Callithrix jacchus: one gene and its partners. The protein of the gene in region 4 interacts with the protein of the main gene of each other region in a biochemical or structural test. Links are inferred from orthologs where the notes say so. Each region holds a gene or a part of one and is shown on either strand. Other genes may lie near its edges.

Evidence for each region.
Region 1: the proteins of HLTF (region 4) and UBE2V2 form a complex in vitro, tested with the Homo sapiens proteins (2 studies listed by BioGRID). The link is inferred for Callithrix jacchus from reciprocal best matches to the Homo sapiens genes HLTF and UBE2V2.
Region 2: of the proteins of HLTF (region 4) and PCNA, one has a biochemical effect on the other in vitro, tested with the Homo sapiens proteins (2 studies listed by BioGRID). The link is inferred for Callithrix jacchus from reciprocal best matches to the Homo sapiens genes HLTF and PCNA.
Region 3: the proteins of HLTF (region 4) and RAD18 form a complex in vitro, tested with the Homo sapiens proteins (2 studies listed by BioGRID). The link is inferred for Callithrix jacchus from reciprocal best matches to the Homo sapiens genes HLTF and RAD18.

The regions. Positions count from the first base shown.
Region 1 is NC_133517.1:6,663,731-6,668,543, forward strand, and holds the start of UBE2V2 (ubiquitin-conjugating enzyme E2 variant 2), read right to left. Parts: upstream 3,375-4,813; 5' UTR 3,373-3,374; coding exon 3,276-3,372; intron 3,052-3,275; exon of another isoform or gene 2,882-3,051; intron 2,752-2,881; exon of another isoform or gene 2,596-2,751; intron 1-2,595. UniProt on the Homo sapiens protein: Has no ubiquitin ligase activity on its own. The UBE2V2/UBE2N heterodimer catalyzes the synthesis of non-canonical poly-ubiquitin chains that are linked through 'Lys-63'. This type of poly-ubiquitination does not lead to protein degradation by the proteasome.
Region 2 is NC_133506.1:12,557,913-12,562,972, reverse strand, and holds the start of PCNA (proliferating cell nuclear antigen), read left to right. Parts: upstream 1-1,596; 5' UTR 1,597-1,738; intron 1,739-4,191; exon of another isoform or gene 4,192-4,344; intron 4,345-5,060. UniProt on the Homo sapiens protein: Auxiliary protein of DNA polymerase delta and epsilon, is involved in the control of eukaryotic DNA replication by increasing the polymerase's processibility during elongation of the leading strand.
Region 3 is NC_133516.1:66,167,533-66,172,599, reverse strand, and holds the start of RAD18 (E3 ubiquitin-protein ligase RAD18), read left to right. Parts: upstream 1-1,908; 5' UTR 1,909-1,995; coding exon 1,996-2,046; intron 2,047-5,067. UniProt on the Homo sapiens protein: E3 ubiquitin-protein ligase involved in postreplication repair of UV-damaged DNA. Postreplication repair functions in gap-filling of a daughter strand on replication of damaged DNA.
Region 4 is NC_133518.1:36,208,044-36,212,411, forward strand, and holds part of HLTF (helicase-like transcription factor), read left to right. Parts: intron 1-1,001; coding exon 1,002-1,181; intron 1,182-4,368. UniProt on the Homo sapiens protein: Has both helicase and E3 ubiquitin ligase activities. Possesses intrinsic ATP-dependent nucleosome-remodeling activity; This activity may be required for transcriptional activation or repression of specific target promoters.

The DNA of each region.
Region 1 (4,813 bases), on a different chromosome or scaffold from region 4:
GGTGGATCACCTGAGGTTAGGAGTTCAAGAACTACCTGGCCAACATGGTGAAACCCTATCTCTACTAAAAAACTATATACAATAAATTAGCTGAGCATGGTGGTGCATGCCCATAATCCCAGGTACCAAGAAGGCTGAGGTAGGAGAATTGCTTAAACCTGGGAGGCAAAGGTTGCAGTCAGCTGAGATCACGCCATTGCACTCCAGCCTCACCAGAGAGACTCAGTCTCAAAAAAAGAAAAAAAAAGGTGCATTACCTTTTTTGCATCTACCTCGTCTAATTTTAAAATTTTTGAATTTTAAGCTGTATCACATTGCTTTCACAAATACACAGGTATTATTTACTTCCCATGTTACCAAAAAGCAAACAAAAGTATAGCTAATAGTATAATTAAAACTAATTAATAGACCAGGCACAGTGGCTCACACCTGTAATCCCTGTACTTTGGGAGGCCAAGATGGGTGGATTACTAAAGGTCAGGAGTTCGTGACCAGCCTGGCCAAGGGGAAACCCCGTCTCTACTAAAAATACAAAAATTAGCCAGGCATGGTAGCGCAAGTCTGTAATCCCACCTACTGAGGAGGCTGAGACAGGAGAATGCTTGAACCCAAGAGGCAGAGATTGCAGTGAGCCAAGATCATGGCACTTCACTCCAGCCTGGGCAAAGAAGCAAGACTCCATCTCAAAAAAAAAATAATAATAATCTAATTGGTAGACGGGAGCACTTTGGGAGGCTGAGGCAGGCGGATCACCTGAGGTGAGAAGTTCCAGACCTGCCTGGCCAACATGGTAAAACCCTGTCTACTAAAAATACAAAAATTAGCCAGGTGTGGTGGCAGGTGCCTGAAAAAAATAAAAGATTTAAAAAACTAAAAAAAAAAAAAAACCCCACAGTGGTAAAGTTTCTTCTGAGCTCATCTCCCACCCAGTTTGACTATATTATCAATTATCTAAAGTACAGAAAATGAATAAACAAAATACGAAACTGAACAGGGCAGGTTTTTAGCAATAGTTTCAAATCAAATTTCAGTGGTTTACAAAAATTTCATTAACTCTCTAAAATATATTAACTTCTTAATTTCCCCAAGATTTCAAATTTCCTAAGTCTAAAAAGGAAGTAAAACTGTAACAGAATGCTGAAATAAAAATTAGAAAATATTGGCCAAGTATGGTGGCTCACACCTGTAACCTGAGCACTTTGGGAGGCTGAGGTGGGAGGATCTCTTGAGCCAGCAATTTGAGACCAACTTCAAATTCGAAGTAGGAAGCATTGTCATTCAACATAGTGAGACCCCATCTCTATTTTTACAGAGAAAAAGAAGATACAGACTCCCTATCTACAACATGCTAATAATTTATCAGTAATCTTTATAATTTATATTCAATTTTCAAAACTAAAAGTCCTTAACAAAAAGTATTTGCCATTAATATCATCTAACCTTTGGTCTTTTCAAAATATAACATTCACTCATATGCTCAGTGTTATGAAAAAAATTGTGTTTAAATAAATAATGCAATTCACAAAATGAAAATGAAAACTACTACATTAAAATGCATTATTTTAGCCAGGCGCGGTGGCTCACGCCTGTAATCCTAGCACTTTGAGAGGCCAAGGTGGGGGGATCGCGAGGTTAGATCAAGACTATCCTGGCCAACATAGTGAAACCCTGTCTCTACTAAAATACAAAAATTAGCTGGGCGTGGTGGTGCGCGCCTGTAGTCCCAGCTACTCCAGAGGCTGAGGCAGGAGGATTGCCTGAACCAGGGAGAGGTTGCAGTGAGCCGAGATCACACCACTGCACTCCAGCCTGACACCTGGAGACAGAGAAAAAAAAAAAATGCAATATTTTATTACTAAATACTCAAAAATCTCTAAGAGGCCCTAAGCACAACTCTTAAAAATATATGACGCCATTAACGAGCACACAGATTTCAAACAGCACGCACAGTAAAGTCATAACACTAAAATGCCTTTTTTTTTTGGACAGAGTTTCACTCTTGTTGCCCAGGCTGGAGTGCAATGGCGCGATCTCTGCTCACTCAACTTCCGCCTCCTGGGTTCAAGCAATTCTCCTGCCTCAGCCTCTCAAGTAGCTGGGATTACAGGCATGCGCCACCATGCCGGGCTAATTTTGTATTTTTAGTAGAGAAGGAGTTTCTCCATGTTGGTCAGGCTAGTCTCGAACTCCAGACCTCAAAAGATCCGACCGCCTCGCCCTCCCAAAGTGCTGGGGTTACAGGCATAAGCGACCTCGGGAGGCTGAGGCAGGAGAATCACTTGAACCTGGGAGGTGGAGGTTGTGGTGAGCTGAGCTCACACCATTGCACTCCAGCCCGGGCAACAAGAGGGAAACTCCGCCTCAAAAAAAAAAAAAAAAAAAATCATGCAGAATGTATCCTGAGGTATTACTCTAACAATTACAACATACATTCGAAGCCTTGCATTTCAGTAAATACGGATTTGAAAATTCATTTTATTATGCAAAGATGGCATGAACTATTAAATCACAGTGCTCTATAATCTAGTTTCAATGAAGTCTAGGAAAAGGCAGATCATATGTGTTGACATTTTTAAACGTGTAGTAAAACTTAACCTTTTTAACGTTTCCGAAATGGTCTAAAACCTCAGCGTTAATACATTGTATTCAGTAGGAAAGAGGAGTTGAACGGCTTATCTAAGAAACCACTTGTTCTTCAATTAGCTTTCATCTTGCTCTGTGCTTTTATTTTGTTTGCACTGCAGTTTTTCACTTAAATAAAAAAAAAAATACGTATTCAGTCGGGTAAGAATGACCCTCTATCCCTCCCTTATTTTAAGGAGCAACCGATCTCTACTCCCACACCCATGTCAAGGAGAGTCCCGGGGAATGGGACCCCCACCATGATCCAGGACACCTCTTGGCCTGACCCCTCTCCGGTGTCGGAGGTTGACACCCGTCCACCTTGGGCCTCCTCGCCTCTCTCCCGTAGAGCCTTCAGCCCACAACTAGGACCGGCACCCGCCGGACCCTACGGGTGCACCCGCGCGGGAAACACCCCGCCCCCAGCCTGCAGGCGCGCGGCCGACGCGCGAGCACGACCCACCACCCCGACGGCCGCCGGGGCCCTCGGCGCCGGTCCCACCCGGTCCCAGGCTTCGCTCCACAGAAAGCGCAGCATTCGAGACAGCGCTCTCGAGCTTTCCCCACAAGGTCACAGCTCGGCCGCCAGCAGCAGGCGGAGAGACAGAGCCGGGTCGGAGCGGAAAAGCAGGCAGCCCGGCCCGGGAACAGACCTGTGGAGACCGCCATCTTCTCCTGCAGCCCGACGCAGCCGCCCGCACGCACGCACGAGCCGTCGCACGTCACTTCCGGGAGCGCGCAGCCCTGCATTCGTCACGGCGGCCTCCGCCCCCGGCTGGCGGGGGCTACCCTAGCAGTGACAGCGCGCACGTGGGCCGAGGTGTCGCGGGCCTTGCTGCTGTTTCTGCGGTTCCTTGTGAATCTGCTCTCAAAATGAAATAACTTCATGAGGGCCAGGCGCGGTGGCTCACGCCCTTTGCACTTTGGGAGGCCGAGGCGGGCAGACCACTTGAGGTCATGAGTTCGAAACCGACCTGGCCAACATGGCGAAACCCTCTCTGCTAAAAAACACAAAAATTAGCCAGACGTGGTGGCGCGCTCAGATAATCTCAGCTACTTGGGAGGCTGAGGCACGAGAAATCTCTTGAACCGGAGAGGCAGAGGTTGCAGTGAACCTAGATCTCGCCACTGGACTCCAGCCTGGGCTACAGAGCGAGACGCCATCTCAAAAAATAAAAATAAAACAAGTGGGCATTGACGCATTTGCGTTGATAAATGATTCAAAAGAGTTGGACAAAGTTAAGGAGCAAGGGAGACTGAGATGGGAGGATTGCTTGAGCCCAAGAGGTCCAGCTGTAGTGAGCAGAGATCACTGCACTCCAGCCTGGGTAACAGAGGGAAACTCTGTCTCAAAGAAAAGAAAGAAAGAAAAGTAATACAGGCTGGGCACCGCAGCTCACTACTTCTACTACTACTAATTTCTTCTCCTCCTCCTCCTTCTTTCTTCTTCTTCTTTTTTGAGACAGTCTTTGTCACCCAGGCTGAAGTGCAGTGGTACGATCTTGGCTCACTGCAATGTCTGCCTCCTGGGTTCAAGCAATTCTCCTGCCTCAGCCTCCCGAGCACGGTTCAATTTTGTATATATTTGTTTTTAATTAGAGATGGGTTTCACCACGTTGGTCAGGCCGATCTCAGACTCCTGACTTCATGATCCACCTCGGCCTCCCACAGTGCTGGGATTACAGGCGTGAGTCACCAGGCCTAGCCAATTTTTGTATTTATAGTAGAGATTTCACAATGTTGGCCAGGCTGGTTTTGAACTCATGACCTCAGGTGACCCGTCCACTTCAACCTCCCAGAGTGCTGGGATTACAGGTGTGAGCCACCGCATCCGGCCCACAGCTCACTTCTGTAATCCTAACACTTTGGGAGGCTGAGGCAGGAGGACTGCTTAAGCCCAAGAGTTTGAGACCAGCCTGGACAACATAGTGATACCCTGTGTCTACATAAAATAGTCTACATAGTGATACCCTGTGTCTACAGGTGGTTCATGCCTGTAGCCTCAGCTACTCAGGAGGCTGAGATGGGAGGATCACTTGAGCCAGAAGGTTAAGAAGTTAAGGTTACAATGAGCTATGATGGCACCACTGTAATAGAGCTTGGGCAAAAGAATGAGACTCTTTTTTTTTTTGAGACGGAGTTTTGCTCTTGTTACCCAGGCTGGAGTGCAATGGCATGATCTCGGCTCACC
Region 2 (5,060 bases), on a different chromosome or scaffold from region 4:
ACAGGAATTGGTGGGAACAGATGATCCTCAGCTCCAGCCAATCATTAATCAGGTGAGAAAATGATGGTGGACCCTCCAATTATCTAAGGCAAGAAACTTAGATTGTTAGGAGAAATTTTCTGATTTTTAAGGCAACATGTGGGCCAAAGAAAACATCTACAGGTCACCCATGGGCAATCCCCAAGTGAACCAGTCTCCCTCATTCTAGTCCAAGCTCCCTCAATCCATTCTACACATCACTGCCAGATCAGTTTTCCAAATACAGGACTCCTGACCACTGCTATCTCGGAAAGCACAACTACAACTACAAAGTCCTATGCTGCCATTCAATGTCCACAGTAATACAACTACTCCCTACCTTCCTCAACTCCCCTACACAGACCTTTCACTTCACCCAAAGGAATCTACTCCCACACCCGTCACCCCCCAGCCGCTGTCCCCGCCAAGATGGCCTCCTTCCTACTCTCCTCCCCTACTCACCAGAACCCATACGGCACAGGAAACAACCCATCAACTGGGAGGACTCCCTCCAACACCTGCTGATGACGGGGTGGCTCACTGCGTAACACACCTCTCTGCTCAAAGCCGATGATTTCCTGTCCAAGAAGGGATTTACATATGCCAGGAGGCAAATGCTATGGCCTTGTCCCGATTCCGACACCCCCCAAAATAATAACATTGCAAAAGGGAACGGAGAGCCTAAGTCGCGGTCAGAGGAGCCGCCTATCTGAGAAAGCTCTGCACATCTTCACCTCCAGGAAGGCCTCAGGGAGGTAGGGGGAGAGGGGGGTCCCGCAGTCAGCCCAGCGAGGCAGGAGGCCGTGCGCCACTCCAGGCGAGCTCCTTCCTGCGCCCCAGGGGAGCCACTCCAGCCAGACCCTGAGCCGGGACTCCGACCCGCCAACCCTTGACATGCGCGCAGCAAAGGCTAGGCACCCGAGGACCCATCGCGCTGCCCGGGGCCGCCGTCCGCCACGACAAGGGATCAGAGGACTAGAGGACCCCCCTGCGCGCGTCCCCACCGGGCCTCCTGGATGCGCCGCTGTCCCGGCCGCGCCCACCCCGAGGCTGCCGCTACCTTGTCCTCGGGCGGCGCATCCGGCTCGTGGGCCACCCTCTGCCTCAGCTCGGTCATCCTGGAAAAACCTGCCCGACGTCGCCGCGGGCGAGCAGCGCAGCAGCCAGGAAAGGCAGCTCAGCGCGGGCACGCGCGGACTCCCTCGGCCGGCCCCGCCCCGCCCGGGAGTCGCGCGGCTCCGAACAGCTCACAGTTCCCTTAGCAGCCCAGCAGCCAGCCCTGGAGCTCGGCCCCGCCCAGCGCCGTCACGGCCCTTTCACCCGGGCGGAGCAGGGTCTGCCTTCCCTGGCCCCGGCCCGCGAGCTCCTCCTCCCCGGAGGCGGGCTCGGAGCGAGTGCGCACGCGCAGCGCCGCCATCACGACCCGAAAGATCGACCAACGGCGCAAATACGCCAGGGACAGGGAGACGGGGGCGGGGCGGAGCAGAGTTGAGAGGCTCGCATTGGACGGCAGCGTCAGGGGCGGGAATAGGCGTGCGTTTCAGAGTCCGATTAGCCAATGGGAGCTCCTGCTTCAATGCAGATGGCTGAAGCTGGCGCCCTGGTTCTGGAGGTAACGGATTACCGACGGCGAGAGGCGCCACCCGGAGGCTCTAGCCTGACAAATACTTGCTGACCTGGGCTCTGAGCCCGCAGCAGCAAGGGCTCTTTCTTCACGCAAGTAAGTAGACGTTATTTAGGCCGAATGGAGAGGCCAGGTGAGCCGACCTGATTAAAAGCATTATCGCTTATCACATGATGAGAAGTGGAACCCACACTTCAATCTGCCTTGCTTTGCCAAGCGGTCTCTAGTACTTGTTGAGCGCTAACTGTATACTAGGCACTGAGCTGGGTAATCGCTTTAGTTGGCTTATCTCATTTAATCCACACATGGCTTGGAAGTGAGTATGATTTGCATTTTGCAGTTGAGATCTTCCTCAGTTTATTTATTTATTTATTATTGAGACAGAGTCTCGCTCTGTCGCCCACTATCTCAGCTCACTGCAGCCTCCTCCTCCCGGGTTCAAGCAATTCTGTCTCAGCCTTCCGAGGAGCCGGGACTACAGGCGCTCGCCACCACGCCCGGCCAATTTTTGTATTTTTAGTAGAGACAGGGTTTCACCATATCAGGCTGGTCTTGAACTGCTGACTTCAGATGATCCGCCCATCTTGGCCTCCCAAAGTGTTGGGATTACAGGCGTGAGCCACTGCACCGAGCCCTTCCTCACTTTCTAAAATTTGTCTTCTGGACTATGGAAAGGCTCAATAATTTTGAGCCAGGCTGGCCAACATAGTGAAACCCCATCGCTACCAGAAATACAAAAATTAGCTGGCCATGGTGGCGGGAGCCTGTAATCTCAGCTACTCAGATGGCTGAGGCAGGAGAATCGCTTGAACCTGGGAGGCAGAGGTTCCAGTGTGCGGAGGTCACGCCACTTGCACTCCAGCCTAGGTGACAGAGTGACATTCCATCTCAAACAAAAAATGATTTACTTTGACGGCTGCTAAAATTATTGATGGAGGGGCCATCCTAAAGTAACTAAATTTCTGGGGGAGGGCCAAGTGGAATAGGCTTTTTTAAAGCTCCCCAGGTGAGTCTAGAGTGCAGCCAGGATTGAGAATAATTCTGATACATATTACCTTATGAAGAAATTTGCCAGATACTACATAAAATAATTTATAGCATTTTCTCCCAGTATTCATTTTCTGACCAATACATTTTTACTGAAAAAAGTATAGAAAATACAGAAAATGCAAGAAAAATTTAAAATTATTTGTGGCACCATCAGCCAGATAATTACTGTTCATATTTATCTTCTTGCTTTTCCATTCCATTTACTGTACACATACACCCAGATATAACAATTTGAGAAAATTGGAATACCTTTGTTTATTCTGCTTCATAACGTGATTTTTCTCTTTATTAAGCTCTTTGCAAATCGTACGTTAGAGGCTAAACAATATTCCATCTTACAGATTTATCACAATTTACCTAACAAATGCAAACACTGTTAGACCTTAAGGTTATGTCCAATTTCTGGGGGAATTATTAATAATTCTGTAAGAGGCCAGGCACGGTGGCTCATGTCTGTAACCCCAGCACTTTGGGAGGCAAAGGTGGGAGGATCATTTGAGCCCAAGAGTTTGAGACCAGCCTAGGCAATATGGTGAAACCCTATCTCTCCAAAATATTAGCTGGGCTTGGTGGTGTTCACCTGTAGTCCCAGCCACTTGGAAGGCTGAGGTGGGAGGATCACCTGAGCCCAGGTCAAAGCTGTGGTGAGGTGAGCTCATGCTACTGTACCTCAGCCTGGATGACAAAGTGAGAACCTTTCTCAAAAATAATAATCATCGGGCGGGGCATGGTGGCTCACACCTGTAATCCCAGCACTTTAGGAGGCTGTGGCGGGCAGATCACAAGATCAAGACCATCCTGACCTACATGGTGAAACCCCGACTCTACTAAAACATTCAAAAATTAGCTAGGCATGGTGGCACACACCTGTAGTTCCAGCTACTCGAGAGGCTGAGGCAGGAGAATTGCTTGAACCCGGGAGGCAGAGGTTGCAGTGATCTGAGATGGCACCACTGCACGCCAGCCTGGTGACAGAGCAAGACTCCATCTCCAAAAAAAAAAAAAAATTGTCAGTCATCATCATCATTCTGTAAGAAACATTTTTTTTTTTTTTTTGAAACATAGTCTTGCCCTGTTGCCCAGGCTGGAGGGGAGTGTCGCAATTTTGGTTCACTGTAACCTCTGCCTCCCAGGTTCAAGCAATTTGTGCCTCAGCCTCCCAAGTAGCTGGGATTACAGGTGTGTGCCACCACACCCAGCTAATTTTTGTATTTTCAGTAGAGACAGAGATTCACTTTGTTGATCAGGCTGGTCTGGAACTCCTGACCTCAAGTAATCTGCCCACCTTGGCCTCCCAAAGTGCTGGGATTACAGGTGTGTGCCACTGTGCCCAGCTGCTTTTATTATTTTCTAATAGTTTAATATCTGATCAAAATTTACTTAATTGATTCTTTACTGATTCAATAGTACATTTACTAGATGTTAAAGTATCCTCTTAAAATGTAAATTGGATCATATCAAAGACCTGCTGTTGACAACGTTCGCTTGCACTTTTACAGAGCCTACAAAGTCCTGCAAGAGTTCACCCCAGCCTCTCTGCAACCTCACCGAAACCTCACCTTGCACCACTCTTACTCCAGATGCAACCTCACCTTGCACCACTCTAGCACTTAGTCTGAGTGCTACATCTAACTTGTCTGAATATATTCCAAGTATGCTGACCTTTATTTTTTTATTTTATTTTATTTTTTTTGAGACGGAGTTTTTGCTCTTGTTACCCAGGCTGGAGTGCAATGGAGCGATCTCGGCTCACTGCAACCTCCGCTTCCTGGGTTCAGGCAATTCTCCTGCCTCAGCCTCCTGAGTAGCTGGGATTACAGGCACGCGCCACCATGCCCAGCTAATTTTTTGTATTTTTAGTAGAGATGGGGTTTCACCATGTTGACCAGGATTGTCTCGATCTCTTGACCTTGTGATCCACCCGCTTCGGCCTCCCAAAGTGCTGGGATTACAAGCTTGAGCCACCACTCCCGGCCTATGCTGACCTTTATAATCATGCTATTCTCTCAGCCTAGAATGCTTTTCTTCCAACTCTCCAAACAGCTGTCTTCTCTGACAAGATGCTATCTTCTCAGAGAGGCCTTCTCTGACCACAGTCAGAGGCATGTTTATGTCCTCATTTCAATTTAACATGAGTTTAACACAACCGTACACCTCTTTATCATTCGACATTTTTAGGAACACATCACTTCTAAAATAGCAAAAATAATTCATCTACATTGTAAGTCCCACATGGGTAGAATTTAATTGACATTTAAAATGCCGTCAAATCTATTACACTGTGATTTGGCATTAAACCAAAATGTTATTATGTAAGCAGACAGGACTGAAACAGAGTAGTGGAGCATATGCATTTGTTTTTAGTGAA
Region 3 (5,067 bases), on a different chromosome or scaffold from region 4:
CTGGTTCACTCAGTCCACGGACCTGGTCTTAGATGCTTTTCCCTTATCTCTCCAAGACCCTACTGCCCCTGCATCCAGAACTATCCAACCTCTTCCAGCTCAGCCTGGCATGCATTTGAATGCCGTTCTATGATTGCCTGATACAAAGCATAAGGGTGGGGGTTGGCACCATAAACCTCCATTCCTCATCTTCCTTTTGGGAGTCCCACTAGGTCCAACAACCTGAGATTCTCAGACCTGGCTCTGCCCCTTGACTTGGTTTACTTAACTGTTTCTCAAAAAATTATCAGTGGGTGATTTCTTCTGGTTTTAGGTTAAAAGACCTAGGTTCCATCCTGGATAATGCCACTGACAAACTGTGGTTTATATGAATTCCTTTACCTCTCTAAGACTTAGTTCTCATGATGAAGGCCTTATGAGAATATTCTGTTGTGGTCAATATGGACTCTCAAGCCAGACTGAGTTCAAATCTTTCATCTTCCACTACCAGCAGGGTGCCTTGTGAATAAGTCAAATAAGTGCATATGTGTAAAAAACTTAGAATGGTGTTTTGCATACACGTGCCTAATAAATGCCAGCTACTACTGTAATGGATACTAAAGTCCTTTCTCTTTTTTTTGAGACGGAGTTTCGCTCTTCTTACCCAGGCTGGAGTGCAATGGCGCGATCTTGGCTCACTGCAGCCTCCGCCTCCTGGGTTCAGGCAATTCTCCTGCCTCAGCCTCCTGAGTAGCTGGGATTACAGGCACGCGCCACCATGCCCAGCTGATTTTTTGTATTTTTAGTAGAGACGGGGTTTCACCATGTTGACCAGGATGGTCTTGATCTCTTGACCTTGTGATCCACCCGCCTCAGCCTCCAAAGTCTAAAGTCCTTTCTCTAAATGCTATTAGTATTAATATTACTGCCCAGTAAGTATTTGGGTGCAAGCTGGGAAAAATCAATTGAATACAGCTTTGGCTAAGAGACTAGAGGGTTCTTATGAAGAGAACTCAGAGGAGTGAAGTCTTAAGCTTTCTGAGCCTCAGTGTCCTCATTTGTAAGATGGCCATAACAGTCTAATCTCTGCCTGCTTCCCAAGAAAGCTCAAGTGCCTGGCCCGTTGTAAGCATTCAGAAAATATTTGTGAAATGAATCAGTGCATGGACCACGTGGGGCGTGTTCTTCATCTTAAGCCTCAATGGGCTCCAAAATGTCCCTTCCTAGATTCTACAAAAAGAGTGTTTCCAACCTACTGAATCAAAACAGAGGTTTCAACTGTGTGAGAATCCACACATTGCAAGGCATTTTCAGATAGCTGGTTTCTAGTTTTTATTGTGGGATATTCGGATTTTGCCATGAGCCTATATGGATTCCGAAATGTCCCTTCCCAGATTCTTGCTAACTTGGTGGGAATATCAAGGGCAAGGATTCAAGGGTGGGGATATTGCTAACTTGATTTAGCAGAGTTCTTTGCTAAAACTGGATTTTATCACGAAGTACACAGATTGGCCTAGGAGAAGGTTCAGGAGCCTGACTAAAGTTTGGTCAAGCCAAGAATCTTTGCCAATTTGCATAGGAAATATCTGGAAGGCTATATGCCGAAGTTAATAGTGCTTCTCTCTGAAGAAAAACTGTACATTAAAATTTTAATATGATTAAAAGGAAGAGCTCCTATTTAAACTCCAGAGGTCCTGTTTCGAATCTGACTCGAAACTCTATTCAGCTTTTCCGGAGTAGTTTCCGCTTGTGTAAACTGACAATGATAACACCTACCTCCCAGTGTTGTAATATGGGAGAGATATTACACAGTAGCGGACATAGCCTAGCGCAGGCGCAGTACAAGCACCATCAGCAGCGCCCCGCCCACATCCTACTACAATTTCCGGCAGGCTCCGCGCCCGCCTCTGGCGCGTCGCGGGTTGTGACGTAATGCGATAGCGCGGGGAATTTCGAGTGGTATTGGAGCGCCGGAGGCTAGTTGAGTGGTAGACCCCAGCATCTTCAGGAGCGACCATGGACTCCCTAACCGAGCCTCGGTGGCCGCCGGGCCTGGCAGTTATGAAGGTGAGTGCTTCGGGGAGGTTGGGGGCTCCCGGGTGCCTGCGGGGGGCGGTCCCTCCCTTTGAGGAGGATGTCCTCGCCTTGAGGAGAAAAAATGAGGCGCGAGAGTCGCACTGGGCCATAGTACCCGGCTCTGCTCTGTCACTAGCCGACCGCGTGGCTCTGGGTCTCAGTTTACTCCTTTGATAAGTGACAAGGACAAGCTTGGTGAGCTGAGGTTGACAGTCTAATGGAACCAGATATTCTGCGATCCAATCCGAACAGTAACATGGAGAAAAACAGCTGTTCTAAACAATGACATTGTCAGCTAACCTTCACTGAAAGCTTACTTTGTGTCAAGCACTAAACAGTGACACCGGACATGATTTTGGGTGGACACTTTATCAAGTAACATGTATGTAATCACGTAGCCAAGCAGGTAGTCTCCTTTACAGGCTCTTCTGATTATTCTCAATAAACCTACTGCTGGTTTGTACCGACATACTGCCCCAGCTCCTCCCTCACACGTCCTATCTCTTCTGTAACAATTGCTCATCTCTCTGTCTTTTAAACAAAGATCAAGATTCAGCAGTCATCTTTCATTGCATCGAATTATTTCAGTTAAATAACACTTATTTTTGTAGCCACTTTCTGTTTTGGCAAGGCAACAGTTTCCATTTACGTAGTGGTGGTCCCTGGATTTGCTCAAGAGCAGATGCACATTCCCGTGCTGGCTAAAAGTCAGTTGTTTGGTGTTTCTTTTTGCTCTGTGATTATTTTTGTTTCTGACAGTGGCTAAGATAGCCTTTTTCTCTTCCTCAGTTTTGTAGTCTTGGGGATTATAGTATCTGTCCCACTGGCTCATAAAGTTGACTTTAGAATTAAGTGAAGGCTAAAATAAGTATAAGGCCTTGTTCTTCCTGCTGTCATCCGTGATATTTAGAGGTCTTGGGGACTTGAGATATCTGCATGACGAGAAGCTGACATTGTGAAAGGATCCAGGAAAGCGGTGGTTTCGAAGTTGTGATGGGCTTGGCACCAAGATGCCGTGGAAAAGAGCACAGATTTGAATTCTAGTGGTCCTGGGTGAAATCTGATCTCTGCCTCTTAGCTGTGTGACCTTCAGTTAGTAACATAACCTCTCTGAGCCTGAATTTCTTCAACTATAAATTAGAGACAAAAATAAACAGTTCATAGGGTTGATTAAATAAATGAGTTCATGTGTGTGGGTGCAGATTCTGCAGGCTTATTCATTGTGCTTGATGCGGTGCCTGACAGAAAGTGAGTGCTCAAGTATTATTTGCTGCTTGATTGAAAGTATCTGGAATGTAGTAAGCATTCAATGAATATATTTTATTACTATTATTAGCACTGTGCTAAGTGCTTCTCTCCCCTTTTAATTTGTTGTCATGAAGCTTGATTTGGATAAGGAAAGTAAAAGAACTCTGTAACCTGTAAAGCTCCTGCTTTGTAGATTTAAGCATATTTTACATATTCCCACAATTTCAGTGTTCTTTAGAGGCAGGTTCCATGTCTTCTCTGACTTTGGTATCTCACCACGGCACTGAATATAGAGTTTGATACCACAGAGTGTTCAGTGATTGTTCAACCAGAGAGTTGATTGAGCCCATATTTTTTGCTCACATTAGAATCATAGAATCTTAAGGTTTGGAAACCAGCCTCCTTCATTATTTTAAACTCTTTTATAACATATCTGCCAATTTCTCACCTAATTTTTGCTTGAACTCTTCCAGGGACAAAGAACTATCAGATCCCAGAAGTGGATCTGACTAAAGTTACTTCTAATAGAAGTCTGACTCAGAATGCATGGTTCCTGACTTAGGATCCGTAGAAAGACTTCGGAGTCTCAAGTTATTTGTAGAATTTTCGTATATATGTTTTTCTGAGAATAGAGTCCATAGTTTTCATCTAATTTTCAAAGGGATCTGTAACCCCAAAAACTTGGGTATTTTTGTAAGTATTATGTTTTTCTACCCATTTTCTACTCCCTTTCACTTTCTCTCTCTCTAAACTAAAGACATTTTGGGGTGTCTGCTGACCACTCTCTATTCAGGCATCGTTTTTTGTTTGGTTGGTTGAGGCACATGTGATACGCATATTACAGTCTTGGAGAGACATGACCAGAAATTTGAACCCGAAATAGCTCATCTTATGGAGTGTCAACTTCCACAAATTGTGCTCTGCAGATCTTTCTGAATCATTACTCCACCGAAGAGAATGGCATAGATAAGAAAGAGTGGTATGACAGACTGGTTCCGGCTTCTGGGCCTGCCTCTGATCTTAATTGATCTTTAACATTAACCCTCTAGATTTTTGTGTCTGTGACAGCTTACCATCCACAATAATGGAAGATTTTGGCATTTTATTATTTCCCTGGTTTTATTTTAGCAAAATTGGACTCTTTTTGGCATATTGTAAATGTAATAGGTGTACACAGTAGAAAAAAATTAAAATTCAGAGTAAGATAAAGGTGAAAAAGAAAATCATCTGTAATCCTACCACCCAGAGAACCAGTGTTTAACATTTTACCTTATTTTCCTTCAGTTTTTACGCATTTAAAATTTGGGATCATTGTGGAGTCAACTTCTTGGGTTTGATTCAGCCAACCTAGGAACTCTGAAGGCTTTGTTTTTAAAATTGGGGTACTGATGCTGTGGACTTTATAAGATTGCCATGAAGATTAAACTACAGAGTTGCCATTATTATGTATTATTGGCATATATTTATTTTCTGATTTTTATTTTCCTATGGCATTAAATATTCTTTGAAAGCATGTTTTTTAATGGTTGCATAATATTTCATCATATGGACTGTTGGCAACATTAGTCTTTTTTTTGTATAAATTTTAAAAATTCAGATAATAGGTTCACTTGGTTCAGGATACACATGAAGTGAAAAGTAAAAGTTTCCTTCTTACCGTGTTCCTGGCCCTGATCATTTTTATTATTATCTTCTCATAATTTGTTTGTATTTCTGATGAAAATAGATACTTTTTTTTTTTTTGAGATAGGGTCTCACCGTCAC
Region 4 (4,368 bases):
TTTATGTGGTTGTTTCTGGTGGAGTTAGATGAAAGTTGAGAACGTAAACTAAAACTCAGTGATAGCCATTTTGCAAGAAGCTGCTGGACTAATGTGGTTCAACTTTTTGGCCAAAGGAGCAGTGTATAGACTAAGGATTTGAGCTCCATTAGTGGGATAAAAAAATCTTTATAAAGATGGTAGCCAGCATTTAAAAAGACCATGAAATAGAGAAGAAGCAATAAGTAAATATCAGAGTGCATGATACATAATAAGTATTATTTTGAGAAATAATTATTTCTTTTGTATGTGTTTGTATATTTTTGTGGGATGGAATAAAATGTGTTTCTTATTGTGAGTTATAATGAAAAGCTTCAAGAGCCACTAACCTAGTTGGCAGCACTGTCCACTTGATTCCTCAGAACCAACTATTTAAACTCCAGGAAATTGTATTTATATTTCAATGTTGGGAAGAAAGTAAGAATTGATACACTTCTTTTTTTCTAATACTGGAAAGGAAATGTAAAGATTGTGGAACCTGTAAAGCATTTCTGTCTTATGAATTCCCATATTACGTTTTTATTTTGGGGACACTCATTACTTTACACAATTACTTTTTTATGTACCTTTGATTTTCATATTACAGAAGGTAGTATCTTACCCATATTTGTGTTGTTACAACATTTAATTCAGTGTCTTGCACGTAATAGATACTTAGAATTTGAGTGTTAACTATTGGGTGATAGACTTGGCAGGACAGTTGAGAAGTGAAAGAGTCAATGATTAGAATAAAAATGGCAAGCAGAGCTTAAGAGAATAAGAGCAGGATATAAGAACATTAAACTGTGATAGGTATTGAGGGGAAATTTCCTTGCATTTGTTTTAATTTATTTTTGTAAAATACTTCTGTGATTATCAGATTGGTTAAAACCCCAAATAAGGGATTTGACTTTTTTTGTTCTTATTGGATCAATTTATATAGAAATTAAACGTTACATAATTATTTGTTTTATCCTGATTAGGCGTTTACAGTCCCTAATTAAAAATATTACACTTAGAAGAACAAAGACAAGCAAAATTAAAGGAAAACCTGTTTTGGAGTTACCAGAACGTAAAGTATTTATTCAGCACATTACACTTTCAGATGACGAAAGAAGGATTTATCAGTCTGTGAAAAATGAAGGCAGAGCTACTATTGGAAGGTATGGAGAAAGAAAGCCATTGAATTATAGTATGTTTTACAAATTAATAGTTAAAGTGAATGAAATAATAGTATCATTCACCAGATAAGTAATTTCTTAAGTTTGGAATAAATTTAAAGCTTACATTAAACCAAAGTTCTTAGTTGCTAGCCAGAAGACCTTGCTTGCTTCTATTTCCAGCATCGTGTGGAAATCTGGGAATAGGAACCGATGAAAGAGGTTTAACAAGAAGATTAAGGATTGGTAGAAGGTGTGAAATTCTAGTCCAAGCAAGATCAGATTTAATATGAATGCCCATAGGGAACAGAATGAATAAGAGACAAGTGAAAGCAGAATAGGACTGTGAAAGGGGAATCTTCAAAGCATAAAAACTTCAGTGAGGTAGGTACAAAGCAGATTTGATAGGAATTAGAGAGACTGGGAAAGATTGTTCTAAGCAGGAGATTTCTGAGTTCAAAACTTATTTCTTTTCATATTCTTTCGACAAAAATTTATTAAGTGCCCACTGTGTGCCAGGCAATACAGATTGGGATACAGCAGAATAAAATGCAAAAATCCCTGCACCCAAGGAATTTATATTTTAATGGGAATAAATGGAATTTTAAAACATGATTACGTTTTATGGAATAAAGCAATGAAAGGGGATGGAGAATGCCAAAGCTATTTTAGTAGGGCATTAAGGAAGACTTCACGAGAAGATGATATATAGGCAAAGATCTAAAGGAGATTGGGATTAAGGGGTGTTTCAGCCAGAAGAAACAGCAAGTGTAAATGCTCCCAGTTGGGAGCATGTCTGGGGAGCTTGAAGAAGAACAGAGAGGCAAGTATGGCTGGATAGTATGAACAAAAGGGAAAATAGTCATGATATCAAAGATGTATTGGAATGGGGCTGTGTAATACATATTTCAAGGACTTTGGGTTTTACTTTTTATGACAGGAAACCTTAAAGGGTTTCAAGCCAGGAGAGTGACATAATTTGATTTGTATTTTTAAAAGATCACTCTGGCCTGCGGTGTTCAGATTTAGGTTGTTTGAATAGGAATAAGTTCAGAAATAGGGAGACCAGTAGCAATCAAAGTAAGAGATGATGGTGGGTTTTTTTTTTTGAGACGGAGTTTCGCTCTTGTTACCCAAGCTGGAGTGCAATGGCGCGATCTCGGCTCACCTCAACCTCTGCCTCCTGGGTTCAGGCATTTCTCCTGCCTCAGCCTCCTGAGTAGCTGGGATTACAGGCACGTGCCACCATGCCCAGCTAATTTTTTGTATTTTTAGTAGAGACGGGGTTTCACCTTGTTGACCAGGATGGTCTCGATTTCTTGACCTGGTGATCCAACCGCCTCGGCCTCCCAAAGTGCTGGGATTACAGGCATAAGCCACCGATGGTGGTTTTTTTTACCATGGTAGTGATAAAGGAAATGAGAAATGATTAGATTCTGTTAAATTGTGAATATAAAACCAACAGAACTTGCTGGTGGATATGCTATGGTGTGTGAACGAGAGGAGTCAAAGATAACTTCAAGCCTTTTTACCTGAATATCTGGAAGGATGGAATTGCCATTTACCAAGACAGTTCTACGGGAAGGGCAGAGCAGTTTAGGTGATCTGTACCATTGTCACACAGTTAGTGAATGACAGGACTGATATTTAAACTCTGGCAGTTTGGTTTAGAGCTTGTAAGTTTAACCTTTGTATTATTTTGCCTATTCCTTACATTGTTAAATATTCAGAAGTATTTGTTGCCATAATACTACCGGTACTAATACTAGCAGCAGATTAGCAGACTAACACTAGCAGCAGTGTATAGCACTTAATATAGTCCCAGCACTATTTTAAATACTTTACATGTATTAAATTAAATAACAGTAGTTCTATGAGGTAAGCACTTTAACAATGCCACTGTACAACTGAGGAAGCTCAAGACATAGGTTAAGCACCTGTCCAAGGTTACATAATTAAAGTGGCAGAGCCAGGTTTTGAATTCATGACCAGCTAACTCTAAAAATCTGTGCTCTTAGCCATTAGGCTATATTTCTTCTGTTGCTTTAAAATACTTAAATATCTCAGATGGCCTGGTTATATAATTTTTGGATCACCCATTTCCTTCAGAATCTATATTGTCATTGTATCACTGTATTTTGCATTGAATGTTTCTGTGGGGAAGACTGGTTTTGTTTTGTCTTTTTTTCCTCTAAAGTTTAGCAACCTCCTTGTTGACTTTCCCTGTGGTATTATTTAAATCTTTAGATTCTAGGCTTTTTTCCCCCTTTCCTGGAAAGCTTTCTTTAAATATTGTTTTCTGTTCCATTATTTTATTTCTCTGTGTGTATGTTAGATGTCTTTTATCTGCATTCCATAGGTATCATTTTTTTTATTTATTTATTTATTTTTGAGATGGAGTCTCTCTCTGTCACCCTGGCTGGAGTGCAATGGCGTGATCTCAGCTTACTGCAACCCCTGCCTCCCAGGTTCAAGCGATTCTCCTGCCTCAGCCTCCCGAGTAGCTGGGACTGCAGGTGCCTGTCACCACACCCAGCTAATTTTTGTATTTTTAGTTGAGATGGGGTTTCCTCATATTGGCCAGGCTGGTCTCAAATTCCTGACCTTGTGATCTGCCTGCCTCAGCCTCCCAGAGTGCTGGGATTACAGGCATGAGCCACTGCGCCTGGCCTGTTTCTGATCTTTTACATTTTTTTGTTTAATTTTGTTTTTTCAATCCTGTTTCCTACATCCTTTTCTATGTTTTTATCAGTTACTAGCCTTTTTGATAATGACTTATATTGGTTTCAGTGTGACTTTCATTTCTCTGATGATTCACTGTTTTCTTTCACTTTCTTGAGCTATACCAGCTCATCTTTCATCTCTTTATGTTGTCTTGCCATTTTTTTTTTCAAAGCTCTTTGTCTTTGCTTTAAGCTTTTTTTTTTTGAGACGGAGTTTCGCTCTTGTTACCCAGGCTGGAGTGCAATGGCGCGATCTCAGCTCACCGCAACCTCCGCCTCCTGGGTTCAGGCAATTCTCCTGCCTCAGCCTCCCGAGCAGCTGTGCTTTAAGCTTTTTTTGGGGAAGAACTGTTTTATTGGGTGATGTTAAATTATGACAGTATCTTTGGTCATAACTTTTGCTTGCTCTGTGGCAACATTTTTCTGCTGTTTCCTTTCACTGCCATTTGTTCCCTACCTTTGCTCTC